Caenorhabditis elegans: one gene and its partners. The protein of the gene in region 3 interacts with the protein of the main gene of each other region in a pairwise test. Each region holds a gene or a part of one and is shown on either strand. Other genes may lie near its edges.

Region 1 (6,415 bases), 6.4 Mb from region 3:
TTGCGCAAAGTCTGAAAAAGTTGGGTCTCGCCACGAAAAAAAACTATTCGAATTTCCTACTAAAAAAAAAAACAAAAAATACAAATTTCGATTTTCATGGGAAAAACATCGAAAAATTCAAGAATTTGCCGTTTTTTCCGTAAAAAACGAATTTTTTTCCTGAAAAAAGCCACAAAAAATTCCGAAAATCAAGCGGAAAAGCTAAAAATTCTAATTTTCAGCAGGATTTTGATTTAAAAAATTAGAACAATCCAAGAAACCACTAGGTTTTCAACAAAAAATTGGAAATTGAGCAGAATTTTTCAGTTTTTACAGCTTTAAAAAAAAACATCATAAATTCCGAGTTACCGTACCCAAATTTATAGCTTTCCTCGGAAACTGGGATTTAAAAAAAACAGAAAATTGTCAGAAAAAAGGGTTTTTATGGGTTTTTTTTTCAAATTTTATAATAAATTTTAATGTCGAAATTTCCAAATTTTCTACTTTACACCCGAAAACAGCCAAATTTCCGCGCTAAATGAAAATTTGGGCATAGCTTCCGCATCCCCGGTGACAAATGTGCTCTATTGCACCGAATTGTTGGTTGGAATACGGTATTTATTGCATATTTCAGCCGAGAATACCACTATTCAAACCATCAATTCGGATAGAGAAACACACAAGTCACATTTTCATGAAATTTACACCTAATCATACTGGAAATCGGTATTTTTTTTTTCTATTTTGCTTGCAGTTTTGGCAATTTTTTCGGAAAAAATGAGCTGAAAAACGTGTTTTTTCAGAAAATTTTCAGGATTTTTGGCGTTTTCAACCGAAAATATTCAAAATTTTATAGACAAATCTGAAAAATTCCAGAATTTTCATGTATTTTTAATACTTTTCTCTTAGAAAATCAAATTTTTCCGATTTTTGAAGATTTTTAGGCTAGAAATATATTTTTTACACAGATAATATTGGAAATAACCAAGAAATTGGTAGAGCCTCTAAGGGACTCAAAAAAACCCGGTTTATCGGATTTTTTGGCAATTTCGTATAAAATGTCCACTTTCCAGATTTCCCACAAAATGGAAGGTTTTTAAATAATTTTTTTTCAATTTTTCTTGATTTTTTCCGAATTTTAATATAAAAATTCCCGATTTTCAACTTCTCCCGCCGCACCTCAATATAGAAATTCTTCTTGAATTTCCGATAATAGACCTTAGAATGGTCAGTTTGTGCCAACATTCGTCCTTTATGACATAATGATGCTGCAGCCGTCTCAATATCAAAATCATCAATAACCATATCCATATTATCCTCATTTTCCAGCACTTGTCCCTTTTCGGGCTCCGGCTTCTCCTCCTGCACAATTGTCACAATTCCAGACGCTTTTTGCGTGGAGTTTCCGGTTTTTTTGGCGTTTTTAGTGGCAATTTCTTTCATAAAAGCGTCCAGAGGGTCCTCTTCGTCGTCTGTATCCATTTTTTCGACTTTTTCTTCCATTTTCACCGGGTTTTCCTCTGAAATTCCCTCATTTTTGATATCAAATTCGTCTTCATCATCCTCATCCTCCAGATTCCAGGGCTTTTTCTCAGATTTTTCATCAGATTGCTCAGATTGTAGATCAAGCTCTTCCTTCTTCTTTTGGGCTCTCCACTTCTCCACATTACGACGCCTACGCTCGACTCCCTGTAGTAATTCGGCTTCTTTCATTTTCATAACTTCTTCGGTGTCTGCAAATTGATAAAATTAAGGGGTTTTTTTGCAAAAAATTGAGAATTTGGGCTTTTTCACACTTTTATGGGTAAAAGCCGGCTGGAAATTCAATTTTTTGGGTGAAATTTGAGAAAACTCACTAAAATGTTAGGTTTTTTCGTAACAAAAAGTTGAAAATTGGCCTATTTCTTGCGAAAAAAACATAAAATTCACACTTTTCTGGGTGAAAATCGTCTAGAAATTCAGTTTTTTAGGTGGAAATTGAAAAAAAATCGCTTAAATTTTTATGTTTTCTTGGGAAAAAGGTAAGAACTCTATGGATTTTGCATGAAAAGTTCATAAAATTCACATTATTTTTTGCAAAAACCATACAAATCAGTGGAAAATTGGAAAAATCGCTTAAAAATGCATTTTTCTGGGTGAAAATTAGAGTTTTTTTTTCGCAAAAAATTGAGAATTCTATGGATTTTGCATGAAAAATTCGAAAATTTCGCACTTTTCTTGGTGAAAAATCGCCTAAACTTCAATTTTTCAACCAAAAACCTTTAAATTTGAACAATTTTCGGCTCTTTCTGTTGACAAATTTGAATTTCAACGGTATAAGGCGAAAATTGAATCAAAAATTCAATTTTTCTATCCAAAAATTGTCCGAATTTCGCTTTTTTTCTCCGGAAAAATTAGAAATTGCATGAAAATAGCAAAAATAAAAACGGCAAAAATAGCTGAATTTTGATGCTTTTGGCATGAAAATCGGCTAATTTTTGCGATTTTCAGTTTAAAAAGTTTTTTTTTTTTACCTTAAAATCCTATTTTTAGGCTGAATTTCGTTCAAATTTCCCAGTTTTAACTCAAAAATTCGAAAATTGGGATTTTTCCAGGCAAAAATTTGCTTTTTTTGGCTTTTTATCGATTTTTTTTGCCAATTTTTTTTGCAATTCCTTACCATTCCGTGACTCTTCCATTTCAAAAATCGCCGTTTTACTCTCTTTTTCCTTCTTTTTCTCTGCATCTCTCTGCTTTTCACGATCTCTCGTCTTCTCCCGATCAGTGTCTCGTTCTCTGCGTCTCTCCCGATCCCGATCTCTGTCTCGATGTTCCCGGTGCTCACGACTGCCACGTGGCGAGCGGCTCCGGCTTCTTTTTCGTTCCTTTGAACGGGAACGCTTTCGTTTGTGCTCTTTGTGCTCGCCGCGACCCATCGAAAACTGGAAAAAATTGGGGATTTTTGGATTAAAATTGGGAAAAATACGATTAAAGTGTGCGAAAACAATGAAAAATCACTGGAAATTCGTTAAAACCTTCGGATTTTTATAAAAGAACAATTTTAATCATTTTTAATTTCAAAAAGTGTTTTAAAATCCAGAAAATCTGATTTTCTGCCTATTTTCTGGCCGATTTATCGTTTTATGTAAGTAATTTGACTTCAATCTTCACTTTTTCACTTAAAAAACTTCGAAAAAAGCGAAAAATCTATGGAAAATAAAATAAAAACCGAAAAAAAAAAAGAATTTCGAAAATAAAAATTTTCCGCACTACGACACTCCGAAATCCCGCCGCGCGTGTTGTTTAGCGCTTTTAAAAATTGGCGCGAACGCGCAGGTGTTCAAACACTGTCCGTCGATTTTTCTCGCATTCCTCACAATTCTGTCGCTTTATAGCCGGCTTTCGCGCAAATTTTTGTGTAAATTACGTTAAAGTCACTTAAATTCAAGTTTTCCAGTGCGAAAAACTAACAAACTACTTGTTGCAACTCGGAAATTCAAAAAGTTGATTCGCAAATGAGCCAGCGATCATTTGGAAGTGAAATTGGAAATATGACGGCTGCTACGAATTCGAATGATATTGCGGAGTAAGTTTAAACGTGAATTTAAATTTAAAATGTTTTAAATAAAAAAATAAATTTTTTTTTAACTTATTTCTCGATTCTCCAAAATTTTGAGAGTTCTTTTTATTGTTTCTGGTGTAAAATTCAACGTTCTCTTCATTTTTCACATTGAAAACCCGTGAAAATCACTAAAAACCACTGGAAATTCATGAAAATCCAATAAAAACCAATGGGTGTGCAAGCGCGCCCCATTGCGAATATTTGAATTGTTTTTCGTTTTCGACTTTTTTTCTCCGAATTTCGAGCCAAATTTCTCTCTTTTTCCAGCGTTTCGCTCGCCACACCACTAAAATCGACGGAACAAATGGAAAAGTCGGAAAATGGGACAGGTTAGTGCCGAAAAATCGTGAATTTCCACCCGATTTTCACCTAGAAACCCGAAATTCCACAAAATAATGTTTCTTTTTTCAGCCGTCTCCCGCCTCCCAAAGCCACTCGCCATTGAAGTTTACTCGAAAGTTCACAATAGTGAGTGAAAAACCCAGAAATTGTGGATTTTTCATCAAAAATCTCCAAATTTTCGCTAGAAAACTAGATTTTTCGCGGAAAAATCCCCCAATTTTCAGGCAATTTATCAGAAGATGACCTTCTCGACGAAATTGAAGACCTAATTGATGAGAAATTCTTTGCCGGAGAGAAATTAATGAGCTCTGGCAAAGAATATACAGTGGTTTCCAGTGAAAAACGCGGTGGGCTCACACTTTACACAATGGAGGACGGCACCAAAATTGGACATCGCGATTTGAGGTGAAAATTGATGGAATTGCATGGTTTTCGGTGGAAAAATGTGGCGAAAAACCGTTGAATTTCGCTTATAAATCGGAGTTTTAGGCCAAAAATGACTAAAATCGTTAAATTTTCAGATTTTTCATGCAACAAATTTGAAAATTCCGCATTTTTTCTTCATTTTTCACCCAAAAAAAAAACCACTAAAGTTACAGGTTTTCATGAAAAATTGCTTATTTTAACCGAAAAATAACAAAAAATTGATTTTTTAATTCATTTCCCACGATTTTTACTTCAAAATTATCATTTTTAGGTCATTTTTTGAATTGAAAAACGGATTTTTAGATCTTTCCTGAGCAAAAATGGGGTTTTTTTCATTGAAAAATCGAGAATATCCCAATTTTTTAACCGGTAAATACGCTGAAATCGTGTTTTTCAGCCAATTTTAGACCTTTTTAAGTGAAATATAAAGTAAATCCACAAAATAGCTGCAAAAATGCGTAATTTTCAACATTTTTGCATGAAAAATCCAAAAATTTTCATGTTTTTTGATTAAAAACTCATAAAATTCGAGATTTTTGGACGGAAAATGCTTTAAAATATAATAATTTCACATAAAAAATGCTGAAATTTTTCATTTTTGCTATAAAAAATTTGAAAAATGTCAATTTTCAGCCAAAAAAGGGTCTCTCAGTGGGCGAAATTACGAAAAATGGCCATTTTTGCACTAAAAATCCCAGAAAATTCATTAAAATTTCCTCGAAAACCCGAAATTTCCAGTGAAAATTTATGGAAAATTAGTTTTTTCGTTCAAAAATTCGATTTTCCAGACAAAATGTCCACAAAAATTTGATTTTGCGGTGAAAAGTGTAAAAAACTGCAATTTTTTTTTTCAAAAATCCGTTTAAAAAGAGTCTGAAAAAGTTCAAAGATGTAATTTTGGATGAAAATTGTGTGAAATTTCACAATTTGGCGCTTAAATTGTCTCAAAAATAAGTGGAAATTACACTTTTTATGAAGAAAAATCCAAAATTTTAGAGAAAAAACCCTAATTTTCCCTCAATTTTCAGACGAAAAAAGGGTCTATCAGTGGAAGAAATCAAGAAAATCGCCATTGAAGATGCTGAATTTGTGGATGAAAAGCAGTGGAAAGTCCGGGAAGAACTGCTCGCCGAGAATCCGATTCGTGAAATTAAAAAATATGCTCCAATATTCTCAGCAAATCGGAAATCTACGCCGAAAACTGCTCAGCTCAGTGTGGCGGCAGAAGCCGATGATTCAGATGTACAAGAGGTGTCAATGGATGCTGAAAGTGGAGCAGAAGCTGCAAATAAAAGTGCTATGGTACGGGAAAATTTCGATTTTTAGCTGGAAAATTGAGAGAAAAATCTGATTTTTCGGAGAGGAAAAGTAAAGAAAAATCAGGATGTTAGCTGAAAATTGAAAAAAAAAGTAGATTTTCAGCTGAAAAATTGACAGAAACGCTATTTTTGTAGTCAAAGCTCGATTTTTCGTAGTAAAAATACAGAAAAATTAGGATTTTTCCTAAAAAATTGAATAAAACAGTGAAAAAATCGTGATTTTGACAGAGATCAACTAAATTCCGATGATTTTTAGCTTTAAAATTGACAAAATTTGTGAGAAATTAGATTTTTCGACTGAGAAATTGAGAAAAACGCCATTTTTCATAGTAAAAAATGAGGAAAAATGGGATTTTTATTTGTAAATTTCTGAAAAAACGAGAAAAATTGGATACATTTTGTGAAAAATCGAGAAAAAAACCACATTTTACAGTGAAAAATTGACTAAAATCTCGCAAAAATCGCCAAAATTGTGCCAATTTTCACCAAAAACTGTTAGAAAATATAATTTTTTAATGTAAAAATTGACAAAAATCATGCGAAATTTCCAATTTTCTGAGAACTTTCTGTTGAAACTTGTGAAAAAACCGAAAATTTTTGCAGAAAACTCCACGTGGAGCTCCGCGAGCATCTGGAGGCCCTGTGATCCTCTCGAGCCGCCGTTTACAAGAAAAACAGAAGGAAAAAGATGAAAAAGAGAAGGAAAAACTGGAGAAAAAGCAGAAAGAACAGGAAGAGAAGAAGCAGA
Region 2 (6,286 bases), 6.6 Mb from region 3:
GTGCCATGATGTTCCGACGTTCGAGGTGGCAGCAGCACAACAACACACAGCGGAGAAGAAGCATGCGAACAAAAAAAACGTCTGGTTTCTCTGATGCCCTAGCCCTCACCCACCCCACCCCGACTACTGGTACCAGGCGCCTCCTCGCCGCTCTTCAAGACCACCCCGTCGACGACGCTGCGCCAAAACAAACACGGCGACTGGCACGCTTCTTCTCAACTGCGTCTTCTTCTTATCCGCGCGGAACACACACAACACACACACACGGCATATAATAATTGTTTTGGCTCCGGCGTTCGGTGGGCTCCGCGCGGAGCAAAAGGAGCAAAAGAACGCACGTAGGAATTCGTCATTTATGTTTTGGTGACTAGGGACTAGTAGTCTTGAAAGAGTAGGATATTAGTATGAGGAGAGGTGAAAGAATCCAAGGGTCCAAAAAGATTTTTAGCATTTAAGGAGTCTAAACTTTTCCGAACACCTCGTGAAATTTTGCACCTGGCAGCAATTTTTGCACCTGGAGGGGTTCAGTTACTACATGAAAACTTTGAGGTTTTAGAGGGGTATTGTAGGATTACTGTAGTATTAATGTAGGGCTACTGTAGAAATACAAAAAAATTACGGTAGGGCTACTGTAGTATTACTGTAGGGCTACTGTAGAATTACAGAAAAATTACGATAGGGGTACGATCACTGTAACAGTTGATGCACCATGTTTTGCCGATTAACTTTGACAGCTTATATCTCGATTACTTTTACTGATATCAAAAAATGTTTAAAAATAGAACTATAGAGAAAGATATAAGAAATGTTTTGTCTGTTGCCAATTTTTGAACCAAAAACAACCAAGATTTGAACCAATGAAGTTGTGCTTGGCATTTTACTTTGAATGATCATATCTTGGTTTTTTAAAGAGATATCAAAAATTGTTAAACTACATTATTATAGAAAAGGTTATAATAAACATTTTGTCACTAGACAATGTTTTGATAACACCAAACACAACTGAAATACAAGACGTCAAAAAGCTGACGAAGGATTTTCAGTCGATGCACCATGTTTTTTTAAATTTCACAAAGTTTCCTATTTCCCATTCAAAATCACTAACCTTTTATTTTCAAATACTCAAATACGTAACCTTTTACCTTATCACATACCCTGGTCACCCCAACTCGTGGTATCAGGTTACCCCCTCGTAACCCATTCCGCGTGACCGCATGCCTGCCGGCGCGGCGGCAAGCGGCCTGGCACGGAGCTATGGGTGCCTGCCGGTGACATGATGATGCCCGTCCAACCATAGATAATAATAGGTAGACACCACATACAAACATATGTGTGTGTGTGCGTTCTTTTTTTGTTGGAAAAATGAGAGAGAAACTTTGACCACATACAAACATTTATGGCTATATCTAGTTGGATTTCAAAAACCATGTGTTTGACCTACATGTAGTACGGATTAACGGGATTGGTGGAAAATGTGGATAGGACCTTTGAAAACTGGGTTGATAGTGATTTCAGATCATGGTGCATGGACTAGATTTTAGGCAGGCGCGGGGCCTGAAGCCTGCCTGAAACCTGCCTGCTTTTTCCCCTTTTATGCATTTTAGGTGTATTTACACTGATGATTTTCAAATTAAAAAAAAAAGAAAAAAAAAACACGTATGATTTAGCATAAGTATTGAGGCAGGCGGAGATCGCCTGAAGGCCAGGCAGGTAGGCGTTTTATCGCCTACATAGGAGCCCTACACTTCAAAGTTGAGTCATATGAAATCAATGTAGAAAAAATTATGAAAAACAGCTTAACTAAACGTAACCGAAATATGGCCTCGATGCACCATGTTCAGAACTTTTCTTCGACAGACTCTATCTAAGAAGTGTTAATTTAAAAAAAAAAATTCCGATAAAACCAAAACCAGCCAAAATATGTAAGGAATTATGAAGAATGAAACAATTATTAAAAAGTTCCGAGAGGAGGAGTCCCAAGATAAAACAATAGCCTCACTCTCTCTCTCCCATATAACAACAAATGAAAACAACCTCCCAAAAAAAAACCAAACACAGAAGTAGACAATTGAAAGAGTGACGGGATGGTGAGAAACCAGTTCAAATGACCAGGTCATTGTTTCAGAGAAAACTGGTCACTTTTGTCGAGTTTTTTTTTGGGCAAACTATGTTAGGCAAGCCAATATCTCGGCTTTTTATGCTATTTGTAATTTTTTCCACGGGTTAATGTAGAAAAAGAGGTGAGCAATATTTTGTCAGTTGATAATTATTTTATAAACCCAGAGACAATTTAGATATAGAGCTGGTAAAGTTAAGTTTGCAAAACTTATCGATGCACCATGTTTTTATTTTGGTTTATTTTAGCGATATTAGTTACATATCAACTACAAATGTATAGAATAATGAATAAAACATTTATTACCAATAGACAACTTACTGGATAAACAGGGCGCGATTGGTGGGATAGCGGAGCGTCGTTTGAAAGTTTGAAAAATTGCAAGTTCTCTTTTTTTTTTGTGCAAAAAAGCTGGTAATAATGCACAAAAAAGTCATGTAAAATTTCAAATTCCCACCAAAAATTATTGGATAAACAGAGCGCGCTAGGGGATAGCGGAGTGTCGTTAGAAACTAGTAAATTTCAAAACTTGAAGGCTTCTAGTGGTGAAATCGATTTTGTTTTGGTGGTCGGTGGTGCAAAGCTGATAAATTTTAAATTCATAATTTAATCTGTGATTAGAGGGAGTTGGCCCGAAATTTGGAACTTTTTCTTTAAAAAAAAACTTCAAGTTAAATTGGCTAAACATCAAGCACTAGAGGGATAACGGAGTGTCGTTTGAAATTCAATGTTGCACTTGAAAACTGATAAAAAAGGGCCCAAACCCAACCCTAGATGGGTCCAAGCCTAGACAGGTCCCAGAAATTTCTAGAGAGCTCCAGATAGGCCAAACTCACTCACGTTTTTTCGTCTTTTTCTCGAAGAGTCCTCGCGCGCGGCGGAGTGCGGAAGCGGCATGATGCGACGCGACGAGCACTGCGGAAAAATGCCTGCGTCTCTTCGTCTCGCACGCTCTATCGGCTCGTTCCGCGCGCCCCTCCTGGTGTCGACTGGCACGTCGGGGCGCCCCCCCGCTGGCCACTTAGAGACGCAGAGTGTGGGAAAAAGAATGACCAGTGGTTGAAAAAATGACATTCAAAAAAGAAGAAGAAGAAGAAGGAAGGAGCAACAAACCACCAAACAACACAAAATTGATAAGGGTATGGGAAATCGCACAATTTTTGAGAATTCTCTCAAATAGGTCTAGGAGGTCTAAAAACTGAAATTCTGAATTGAGAAATCTATATTTAGGTCAAAAAGGTCTAAGTGTTAGGATCCTGAGCTATATTTCAGCCTAACGGAGTCTAAAATGCCAAAAATCATAGACTGGGTCTTTTTTGCAACCTAATTTTGGCATGTTTATACTTTTTATAGGTAGGGAGCCAAATTACGGACTAAAAGGTGATCGGTCTAGGGACTGGAATTTTGGTCTGAACGTTTGATTTGGGCTGTAAAGGCATTGATATTGGCCAGTCTTGGCCAGGCCATAACTTTTCCCGAAAGGGTTACAAACAGGGTTCTAGAGACTCTAGTTTTGGCCCAAAAAGGAGTTATGAAGCAAAAAGGGCCACAATACCCCAAAAATAACCTAAATGGTCCAAGTGTTGAGTTACGTTTCCTACCTGTTTAGTCTGGCAAAAAAAGCCTAGAAACCCTAATTCTGATCTAGGACCAAAATTTTATCATAAAGAGTATCAAAAAAGGCATAGGGACTTGAATTTCGGTCTGAAAGTTTGATTTGGTCTATGAAAGCCCTAATCTTGCAGGTCATACTTAGGCTGGAAGGCTTACAAACAGGGCTCTAAGTACTTTATTTTTAGCCACGCTAATCCTGATCTAGGACCCTTATTTTATCTCAAAGAGTTTCAAAAAGAGGCCCTTGAATATTGGCCGATCTGGTCTCAATGGGAACTTAAGAACCATGGGTCTTTCGTCTGGCAGAATAGGCTTAATTTGGGCCTAGGACCCGGATTTTATCTCATAGGGTTTCAATAAGTAAGCCCAAGCCTAAGCTTCAGCCTAAGCTCAAGCCTGAGCTCAAACCTCAGCCTAAGCTTAGACCCCAAGTTTGGCCAAAGGATCCTTGAAGAAGGACCAATATTTATTCGAATTTTTACCAAATATAAAGTACCATACTAAAAAACTTTTTTCATATCTTTCTGTATTTGTATGTTCTCTACTTTTTTCTTCTGTCTTCTTTACAAAACCTCCCCCCCCCCCCCCCATCTATCCATGATTCACATGCTGCCACACCTCCCCCACACTATTTCACTCTTTTTTCCTGCTGCTGCTGCTGCTGCAAGCATCGAGAAATACACACACAAATACACGGTGCTGGGTCACCACCTGGAGCCACCCATGGCTCTTTTCATATGTTTTTGCCTGGAAAATGACGACGACGCGGCAGCGGCAGCGGCAGAGACGCGGAGAACAAGCAGGGAGCGGAAGGAGTACGGGACCAGCGGGGCTAAGGGGGGCCTGGGAACCGGGGAGCCAAAAGTGGTCTGGGATCGTGCAAGGAACCAGGGAACCGAGTAAGCAAGGGAAACGGGGGTGCAAAAGCATTGCTTCATTCAGTTCCAAACTTGAGAAATTCAAAAAAAAAACAAAGCCCACGGGCATAGGAATTCTAAGGTGATAAGCACCGAGGCATCAAAAACGCTAGTTCGATTTTCATACACTTGAGCATTAGAAAAATCTTGTGTAGGCCTTCTAAGTCCAAAAGCCCAAAAACCGGTCGAAAAGGTCAGGTTTTTTTCAGAATTATTGAATTTTCTGGGGATTTCTTTTTGCTCTCTTTTTGTCCCCTGCTCAGCCTAAGCCTAAGCCTAAGCCTAAGCCTAATCCTTAGACTAAGCCTAAGCCTGAGCCTAAGCCTAGACCTGAGGCCAACCTTTGGCTCTCTGCAATTCTGACACCTCAAGGTACTTTTCCAGTCGACCAACTAGTACTACTACGACTAATACTAGAAACTTCTGTTGTTGTTGTCGTTCCGCGTCGCACCGCGCTGGCACCGACCGGCACACTGGCTCCGCCTGCCTAGCAGAGACTAGGCTGGCAGAAAAATGAGGAAAAAAACTAGGAGCGGGGGGGGGGGGGGGGGGTAGGGGTTGCTTGGGACCTTGGAGTTGAAAATTCTTGAAGTCAAGGGGTCTTGAGCTTCACGGGCCTACTGGACCTCCTTGGGCTTAGGGCCTACTGGTCTTTGGACTAGAAAACTCAAGGACTTTGAGTAAGAAACAACTGAGCTAGAAGATGAACAACAGGTGTAAGCCAGGGTAATACAGAACCTACATATAGTACAGGGAGTCTACATTTTGGTCTACATACATTCGGGCTAAAAGTTTTTATTTAGTCCAAACGGATCAAGCTTAGACTTTAGCTTCAGATTTGAAAGGTCGAACTGTAGGTATGAGCGATGCAACTTCCTGTTTAGGCGTATCAAGCTGTTTTATTTATCTAGCGAAGAACGGGAGAGCCTGAAGGCATCTAGATTACCAATTACACCCTATCAGAAACAAAACCGACAAAATTTCGAAATTTGGGTAATAAGCTCGGTTTTGATGTCGTAAGCTTTGATCGGGTGGCTGAATGAAAGGCTTTTGAGATTCTTCAAGGGATCTAGGTGGTTATGGAAGGATCTAAAGACACTAGACTTTAAGGCTTAGAGCTTTAAATGGCTTGGCTAGGTCCTATGCACCCTTAACCTATCAGAAACAAAACCGACATATAACATCAAAAAATTATCGCCACATAAAAAAAAATTGCATGCAAACAAAAAAATGTTTTCCTCTTTTTTTTTCTATCTCTTCCCTTTTTCTCGTTTCATCATTCCCCCATACTCTCCCTGAAAGTGGTACCGACAGATACGGAGCCCCCCGTCCTCCCCTGACCAGTCGCCTGGTCAGCTTAACCAGCATGAGACGCAGAGAGTCGCAGCGCCCCGGCGAGAGGAGCGGCGTCACTGAAGAGACTGGTGAGAGAACGGGACGGAATTTTTTTTTTTTCGTTTTTATGTTTTTGCATTTTCCTGCTGTGTTGCTCTCGGTGTTGCGCCCCCCGTGCTTGTCCGTGCCTTCTGGGAAATTGGAGAGCTGGAGAAATAGAGGGCTAGAGATTGAAGTGTTAAAAATAGGCAATTTTTTTTCTGATGAGCAACACTCAGGGCCATCGGTAAAAGGGGAGTAAAGT
Region 3 (8,659 bases):
ATTAGATTATACAAGCTTAATACGGAAAGCAAGACTACCTTTCAATGGGCACTTGTTGAGTAATTACAATCTAAACTATGCTGAAAATTAATCAGTGAGTCCTAACAAAAATCAGGCGCGTCTGAAGTTTTTTTTGACGACAAAAATGCCATTTTCCGGTTGATAAGAGAAGAGCACACAATTTCAGTTATTTCTCACGTAAGTCGAAGTAATAATCGGGGTGCATTGACCATTAATTCGAAGACAGAAGCTACTTCATAAAATGTTTTAATTTATTTTTCAAACAACGAAAAACCAAATAGAAAAATATGAAAAAGAAACAAAGAAAAATCTACAACTAATTTAAAACAATCCTACAAAGAAATTCTTTAAAGAGCCACTGCAACGACTGGAGCAACGTCATCTGTATCTTCTGTCTTCTTTTCGTCCTTCTTCTTCTTTTTGTTCTTTCTCTTTTCAATCTGCAAAAAATGGAATTTTGAACGTTTTCGCACAAATGTCGGCATGGTAACTCGAAACAGAAAAAATAATTTTTCTTGAAGAATTTAAAAATTAATGAGATACTACGAAGAAATAATGAAATTTAAGCGATATTATTAAGCGTCGTCAAAAACCATTTAAAAATTACCTTTTCAATTTCTTCTTCTGTTGGAATTGGAATCCATGGTTTTACATCGATAGCGTAATTTTCTTCTCCTGGAATTGTCATCAAAAGTGCTCGATTGACAAATGAACCAAGTGCAGGATTACGATGAGCACATGCGGCTGCAATTACAGTTGCGATATTGGCTTCAATATGTTCATTTGGCATTGATAACCGTCCAACAACGCAATCACTGAGCCCCCAAATGGGATATACAGGATCTCCTTTGATATTAAGTTTCACTCCGTTCTTGAATTTTTCGATAAGCTCTGGAAGATTTTCTCCGAGACCTCCATTAGCTCTTGTTGGGAATCTCATTTTAAGAATTCCACGTAGTGGAAGAATCGATGATCCCATATCTGAATGAGATACACAGAAATCATAATCGTCCGTCCTGAACTGTCCCTTGATGATTTTTTTGATGGTATCTTGTCCAAGAGCCATTTCAGCTCCAGATTCTACAGCCAGTTCTTGAAGTTTCACATCATTAGCGAATGCTAAAATGGTTCTTTTTTCGTTATGATTGAATGGATGAGGGACTGGGACAATTTCATCACTTCCTGTGACCATTTTCGTCTGCCTCTCAGTTGTCATGTTAAGTTCAAGGCGAAGACGGATTGGAGCATTTGGATTATTGTAGATTGATGGGCTTTGAAGTTCACGATGCATGTCAAGAGCTTCGGAGACTGTGTAGTATTGCGTTTTGAAGTGAGATCTGAAACATTTTAGAATAAAAAATAGAAATCACAAAACAGGTCTGATACTTTATGAAAACATCCAATGTTGGCTTTTCAGGGAGATTAGCTTCATCGTCAATGTTGAGTCTGCCTGGAAATTGTTGAGATGGTGATAGAAGATTTTTCATTCGCCGAATATTGATTTTTTCCATGAATGAGTATTGTTTTCTGGCTGCCTCTTTTTCTTCCCTTTTCATTCGTCTTTCTAGTTTTTGTTGGCGAGTGATTGTCTGCTTCAACGCTCTTTTACGCCCTTAAAATAAGTTTTTTTTAAAACTACATTTATTTTAAAAAAAAACGAACCTCTAATCTGAATAACATCCGCTGACGCTGGTCGTAGAATGTTACTCCCAGTAGAAGATACCGTCTGTCGAACAAACGATAACATCCTGAAAAGAACAAATGAAAAGTTTAAATAACAAGGAAGCACATTTATAAGGTTATTTTAAAGTTATTTTATCTGTTAAAACAGTGACGAACTATAAATAGGTAGATTAAAGCTGGATTGATTTATTAAATTGTATAAAATGTTGAAAAGAATAGATACATCTATTTTAGAAATAAATAAAAGGGAATGTAGACTTTCGCGAATAAAATGGATCTCAGTATACATGAACCATTCCGTAGAAGAATACCCAGAGCAGAACGAAAGTGAGAAGACCATTTCCGTGCGACCAAGTGAATGAGTTTCTTTCCGGAAAGTAGCTCAACCAGTTTCCTTGTGATTTCACGTTCCATATAACGGCCTGGATTCCAACAGAAATGAAATAGAGAATGAAGCCTTGAAAACCGGTAAGTCCGAGAATTCCTGTAAAAGAAGGATTTTTTAAATGATTTTTTTTGAAAATTACCTGCTGCCATACCGGCGGCGCACGACTGACACGTTCTTCCAAACTCGAGAGCTTCGACGTTGTTGGTTATCGCTGCCGTGCTGAAGAAATATATACATGATTATTGAATTCATGATTTTTACTTCGACTCACTTGTAACACTCATCGTTCTTCTTTTCTGCTTTTGACGATTTATCGGACATTTGAAAATCTGAAATTACAAATAACACTAATAATCAAAAAAGAACATGTTCTAGAACAACATAAAATTATTTAAAATTGAATAAAACTGGATTGCAAAGGGAATTTAAGAATTAAATAGAATAAATTAATAAATTTGTCTCTGAGAAATCTGTGCATTCTGACGTGACAGTGTATCAGTCCTGGGGAGCGCACTTGCAATATTCTTTTTTTAGCTAATTTTTTTTCTTTAAAAATATTGCATTTGCCTCGCTTTTATACTGAATCGCTTTTATAAATATATTTTTCTGCTTAAAATATTATTTTTATAAATTTCAGACATGCTTCGAAGTATACAACATGTCGAAGCCCTCAGCAGTCGTCAAATTTCGACAACATCGATGCTTCTCAAGAACAGAGCGGGTAAAACCAAGGTTTGTTGATCTTTCAATTATTTTCCCATTTATATTTTGCAATTTCCGTCTACATCAAATAGAACACAACTTCTTACATACGAAATGGCTCAAAAACCACATCATATTGGCGTGCGAAAATCGTGGCTCACATGGCATTCACAGAATCTCGAAGGTTTGTTCCAAAACTGAATTACGATTTAACAATTTTTAAAATTTGTTTTTAGAATTCCGTCAATCTCAACCACTGGTTGTTGCACAAGATGAAGTTGTTCGTCGGTTCATTCGAGGATTTTTCCCACAAAATTTAGTCGTTAGTGGAAATGAGGTAATAACTTATCAAAAAAATTTTAAAATTCAGTATAGTATCTATTTCTCTTATCCAAGTTTGCAAAACTTCACATTTTTCCAGATTGTAATCAAACGACGAGGAAACGTACTGATCGTTGCCGGATTCCTTCAATATTCGCGTCGACTCGATATTCGAAGAATCTACTGGATGTTCGGGTTTGCAGAAGAATTTCTTTCCATTCTTCTGAAACAACCAGTGAAGCTAGAAATGGCATTTGTGGAATCCGAAGAAGATGTAGCATACAACTATATCTAAAACTTTCATCTTTGTTATAGAACCGAAATACCGTAGTTTTATTTTACTTCTTTAATTGTTTCTGTTGTGTTCCAAAAAACAAAATAAATCTGAATTTTGGCATTTGGATTCTGGATTTTGGTCCCTGAAAAATATACGAGAGTCAACGATAAGACTTCATAAAATTATCAATCAGCGCATTGGTTTGACAAAAATCAATAAATATTTGTGCTCACTTCGCACACTGATAAGCAAACCCCATAGTCTTTCATACAAACTATTGCGCCCTTTCAATCGTCCTTTTTAACTATACGTGAATCACAGTTAACTATGCGTCGCTCATATAATCACTGATTATTATTCGTATCTTATTCCACTTGTGGTGTGACTTATCTGCAAAACCTAACAACATTTTAATCACTAAAACAAAAATTTCGTCATTCCATGCCTTCGTCTTCTCCATCGATGGACGAGTCTCGAAGGTCTGCTGTTCCACCAAAAGAGCCTGCTGGCAGAATTTGCACAGTTAGTTTTGATATTATTTAGAATATAATCACTTTATTGAAGAGCCTCTTGACGCTGGTTTAAAAGTTGAAAAAACCATCAGAAAGTTGTAATTTTATTTTGGAAACGGCGTGAGATTTTTCGATTTTTGCTTAAAAAATACGGTATCCGGTCTCGCCAAGACAAGTCTTTAAGGAGTACTGTAATTTCAAACTTTAGAAGAACATGCATATTTAACGTGAAAAACTAAAATAAAACACATAAATGTTTTTAAAAAAGTATTAATAGCTATGAATTATCAATGAAAATTCCACAGCTTGAAATTACAGTAATCTTCAAATGCACACAGCTTTTTGTACTGAACAAAGATTGTCGTGCCGAGACCTGGTACCGTATTTTTGACCTAAAAATCAAAAAGAAAATTCCGTTTGGATACATATCGTCTTTTCCAAAACGTAAGATGAGTTCCATAGTGGATTACTACAAATCTGGTGGTATTTTTGTAAAAATATAATAGAAAAACGTTTTTTCATTTATACTTCTAAACCAACAATTGTAATTAATTTTAGGTTTGCTCCGACCGTGCAAATGGATACAATTTTGGTGTACTCACTTGCGAATCTTGTAAGGCGTTTTTCAGGCGAAATGCTTCAAAGCATAAGGTTTTAAAAAAAAAAGCATACTCAAGTTGTTAAAAATTTTGTGTTAAGGAAATTAAATGTCCTTTCTCTGATTCTTGTCAAATCACATCAGCATCTCGCAAGTTTTGCCAAGCTTGTCGATTGAATAAATGTTTTGCTGTTGGAATGAACAGTGAATGGTTAAATGATTTGAAACCGAAGAGTTCAATTGTTTCTGGAAAATTCAAAAGAAAGAAGCCTGATATGAAGAATAACTTGAAAGTGGAAGTAGATGATACTGAAGAAGATTTGGAAAATGATGATGAAGAACAAATTAGTGTCCCCAAAGCATTACTTGAAAAGCTTATCAATAAAGCTAATGAGTAAGTTTCAATGAAATTATCCGGAAATAATAAACTACTGTTTCAACAAATTTACTATAATATAACGGGAAAATAACAAAAAAACGCCTTTACCCCAGAATGCAAAAACAGTAGCCGCGCACGTATGTAGGCATGAAGAAGTGCCTACCATGGCAGCCTTAGCACGTTCTCACATTTATTCAATTGAATCTATTTAATTAAAGTGGTCTCTCGATAACCTGTGATATGTACCGTATGAGAAAGTACAATTATCTAATCAGTAGATCACACAAGACCACAAAACTACGTCACTCTAGTAACAGACAATCGTACATTGAACTTTCAGAAAATCAAAAGACAGATGTACATGCAAATGCCAGTGTGGATTCTATCCAATTACTCAAAGACTCACCGCATACGAACCAAAGGATACAACAGCTGTGGTTAGTAGAGTTTAAAATACAAGAAAATCAATTATTTTATATTCAGAACAGTCCACAAGATATATCATTCTCCCATCATCTTCATCATTCGGATTCGTTTTATTCTTCATCTACTTCAACTCTTTCTCCAATGTCGGTTATCAGTTGTGCTCCATCTTCACATGATTCCAGTGGTTACAATACTTCTCAACTTGTTACTCAATCTCCAACCAACTACACAGTTTCTCCGGCGTCTATACCGAGCTCAATAACTGGTATGTTTTTAGGAGCAGCTCGTGAAGCTGAACGCTAGAACCTCACTGTCAAAAATGTTTGACAACAAGCCAGACATAACTCATCTAGAAGGCTATCACTACGAATTCAAAGTAGGCAGAAGAGTTACGTCCGCCTTCCGAGCCGACAAGAAAACACTTTTATTAATACGTACTGAAGTAAAGAATATACGTCTAAAATTTAGAACTGTCTCCACAAATGCCATCGCAATATCCTCCAATGTTATCACCATTTCAATTTGGTGTTATGGCCCAAATGGCTGCGCCAGCCAACTTTTTGAATTTTCCTCCAATGCCTGAAAGAACATGGACTCCAATTCAAGCAGTGTCCACAGTTCCAGTAACTGAAACTCTACCTCCAAATTTGCTAGAACAAATTCATTCAAGTACTGTTTCATGTCATCCATAAGTTTGAATTTTGCAACTTTTCAGAGATTGACAAATACATTGGAGTTTTGAATGAAGACGAGATAACTCTTTTAGAAGAACTTCATGTACAAAATGAGCCATTAAATGCTCCACTAATTCAATGGCACAATCCGAAAAGCATTGATGGAGTTTTTAGAATAATAGAAGAAGCTCTACGAAGGATTGTTAACATGGCATGCCAATTAAGTCTATTCCGAGAGCTTCACGTGGACGATAGGAAAAATCTCTTGAAAAGTGGATTTGGGGAGTTGTTGATTGTGCGGGGTCTTATGGCCTATGACAAGAGTGATAACAGCTGGAATCATTCATTTGGAGTACGAGGAAAAATGGAGGTAAAGGTGGAAGTTCTTAAGAATCCAAAACTTGAAGAACATTACAAAGCACACATGAACTTGCTTTCAACGTTTGGAGAAGATGTGAGGAATAATGAACATTTGATGCTCATTTTCAATGCAGCTGTTATATTTCATCCTCGTGAGCCAGTTTTTCAAAATTGATTCGTTTTAAAGTTATTAATTCAGATGTCTCCAACTTACGTGATAGTAAACGAGTGCACTCAACACAAGCAAAATATTTCCAGATGCTCTTGAAGTAAGTACTGTACGAGAAAAGCACGTATTGTATAACTTTTTGATTATAACATTTTTAATATTGTCCTACTTTCAGACTTCTTACATTTGAATATGGTAAATCACGTGCTGACATTGCATACAGTAATCTTCTGAATCAAGTCGTCGAGCTTCATCGTGTGAATAGGACCTTACTTCGTGTGTTTTATGGACTAGATATTGCTCAATTGGATCCTCTGATACGAGAATTATGTTCTTTTGAATAACCATTTATTAACCATGAATTATTGCACATATTGCACACTTATTAACATGAGAAAGTTTTTGAGAAAATTGCACAAAAGTCAAGGGCAGAAAGATGGAGAAAATATTACAAACAAATACACGTAGATCTGGATCGAAATCAAAATAAAAATTAATATAAAGGTATTAATTAATTACTCCTCTTTCAACCACTTTTGGCACTTGGCAACATAAGCATGAGAACGAGCACATGTTAGTGCTGGATAATAGTTCTCAATAAAGTAACAGTGCTCTTTTGCGAACTCTTCAACGGTATCAAACAAGAATTGACGTGCGAAGCTACGAAGGTTCAAGCATTGATGCTTTGTCACAACAGCTCTCTTTTTGTTTTTCTTGACACGTTGAGCACGTGTAACTGGAGCTTCAGTGGTGGTGGTGGTTGTTACATCTTCTTCTTCATCTTCAACTAACTCTTCTGCTTCAATAACATCATCTTCCTCTTCCTGTTCCACGGCAGCTGTCACAACTTCTTCCTCTTCTTCTTCTGGTGTAGTTGTTGGAGCTTCAGTAGTAGTTGTTGTGGTTGTAGTCTTCATTTTTGAGAGACGAATTCTCTTCATAACTCTCTTTCTAACCTCCTTATTCAAAAGTTCTTCTTCCTGCTCTTTTGTCAACATCTGAACCTTGCTGCTTCTCTGTTCGATAGCATCATTCATTGGAGTATCATTTTGAACTTCTTGTTGGGTTGTTTCCTGTCTTTTTGGGCTCTCTTGAACCTCATCAACTCCATCGAATTGCTCAGCAAACTCTTCGGATGGTGGGGAAACACTTGGAGCCACTTGGGTCTTCCATTGCTCGTCATAAAGATCTGGGAACTTGCGGATCTCTTTCTTTTCTTTCTTTGATGTTTTGTGACTCTTTCTCATCTTTCTCTTCTTCTTTGGTGGTTCAGTCGTTGCTTCTTCTTCCTCCTCAACTGGTTTCTCTTCAACCTTTTCATTCTGAAATGATAAAAATGAGGATTTTTAAACTAAAAAGATATTCCCAAATGAGTTATTAGTTGAATTTGCAGCTAACGTGCTGACAGCAATTGAGTGCAAATTAAAAAGGCCCCCAAAATTAACTTATCCGAAGGCATCTAAAAGTGCATAAAACAAAAAGTTACTTCTTCAACTTTGACGACACGTGGTTTGCGAATCTTTCTTTTACGATTGATGCTGTACACACGAATGCTTCCCTGAGACAAGTGTTAGATTAGCAAATGTGATTGATTAGAATGAACAGAGTATACCAAGAAGAGAGAGAGAATAAATAAGACTTACCTCTTTTTGAAGAATATTGACTGGTTCCTGTTCCTCCTGTGCTTGAATATCGATTGGATCACTCATCTGAACAGTTTTTGCTCCAAATTGACGAGAATGCATGTCTTTTCCCTTTTTTTCAAGATAATGAATCTTTCGTCTTGGAAGGGACTTGCGTTTTGGTTTAATTGTCTCTTGCTCAACTTCTTCAATTGTCGTGACTTCTGGTTCTTCGGTAGTGGTTGGAGTGGTAGTGGTTGTTGGATCAGTGAACAAGTTGATCTGAAAATAATGGAATTGAAACTATACTTTGTAGTTTTTGTGTGGGTTTTTTTTTCAAATTTTTACTTTCATTTTTCAGTTTCTTGGATGCATTTATGGAGCCACTTCAGCACTTCTACAAAATAAGACAGTGGGACTTGTTCCCCGATATTTGTCAATAAATTTAATGATAAAGTATAGACAATTATTTACTTTATTGAAAAATAACTACCATTTTATTTGAATAAATTGGAAAAATAATCAAA

Evidence for each region. Proteins that work in one complex are often made in the same cells at the same time.
Region 1: the proteins of nhr-8 (region 3) and F53H1.4 interact in a two-hybrid assay, tested with the Caenorhabditis elegans proteins (one large-scale study listed by BioGRID).
Region 2: the proteins of nhr-8 (region 3) and znf-782 interact in a two-hybrid assay, tested with the Caenorhabditis elegans proteins (one large-scale study listed by BioGRID).

What each region holds. Positions count from the first base shown.
Region 1 is NC_003282.8:1,306,751-1,313,165, forward strand, and holds the start of F53H1.4 (PHD-type domain-containing protein), read left to right. Parts: upstream 1-3,415; 5' UTR 3,416-3,473; coding exon 3,474-3,544; intron 3,545-3,847; coding exon 3,848-3,909; intron 3,910-3,991; coding exon 3,992-4,048; intron 4,049-4,146; coding exon 4,147-4,327; intron 4,328-5,376; coding exon 5,377-5,650; intron 5,651-6,270; coding exon 6,271-6,415. Other genes in the region: ddx-46 (RNA helicase), read right to left, coding at 1,159-1,712, 2,639-2,894.
Region 2 is NC_003282.8:1,064,526-1,070,811, forward strand, and holds the start of znf-782 (C2H2-type domain-containing protein), read right to left. Parts: upstream 3,001-6,286; 5' UTR 2,957-3,000; intron 1-2,956.
Region 3 is NC_003282.8:7,707,316-7,715,974, forward strand, and holds nhr-8 (Nuclear hormone receptor family member nhr-8), read left to right. Parts: upstream 1-3,828; 5' UTR 3,829-3,833; coding exon 3,834-3,914; intron 3,915-4,462; coding exon 4,463-4,555; intron 4,556-4,603; coding exon 4,604-4,896; intron 4,897-5,221; coding exon 5,222-5,318; intron 5,319-5,364; coding exon 5,365-5,572; intron 5,573-5,775; coding exon 5,776-5,976; intron 5,977-6,022; coding exon 6,023-6,493; intron 6,494-6,540; coding exon 6,541-6,610; intron 6,611-6,685; coding exon 6,686-6,854; 3' UTR 6,855-6,883; downstream 6,884-8,659. Other genes in the region: mrpl-1 (39S ribosomal protein L1, mitochondrial), read right to left, coding at 369-461, 629-1,358, 1,408-1,633, 1,684-1,768; emc-6 (ER membrane protein complex subunit 6), read right to left, coding at 1,983-2,188, 2,232-2,311, 2,364-2,413; mrps-24 (Small ribosomal subunit protein uS3m), read left to right, coding at 2,732-2,824, 2,873-2,978, 3,031-3,131, 3,216-3,410; F33D4.6 (aECM cysteine-cradle domain-containing protein), read right to left, coding at 7,026-7,832, 7,997-8,068, 8,154-8,414. UniProt on the Caenorhabditis elegans protein: Orphan nuclear receptor.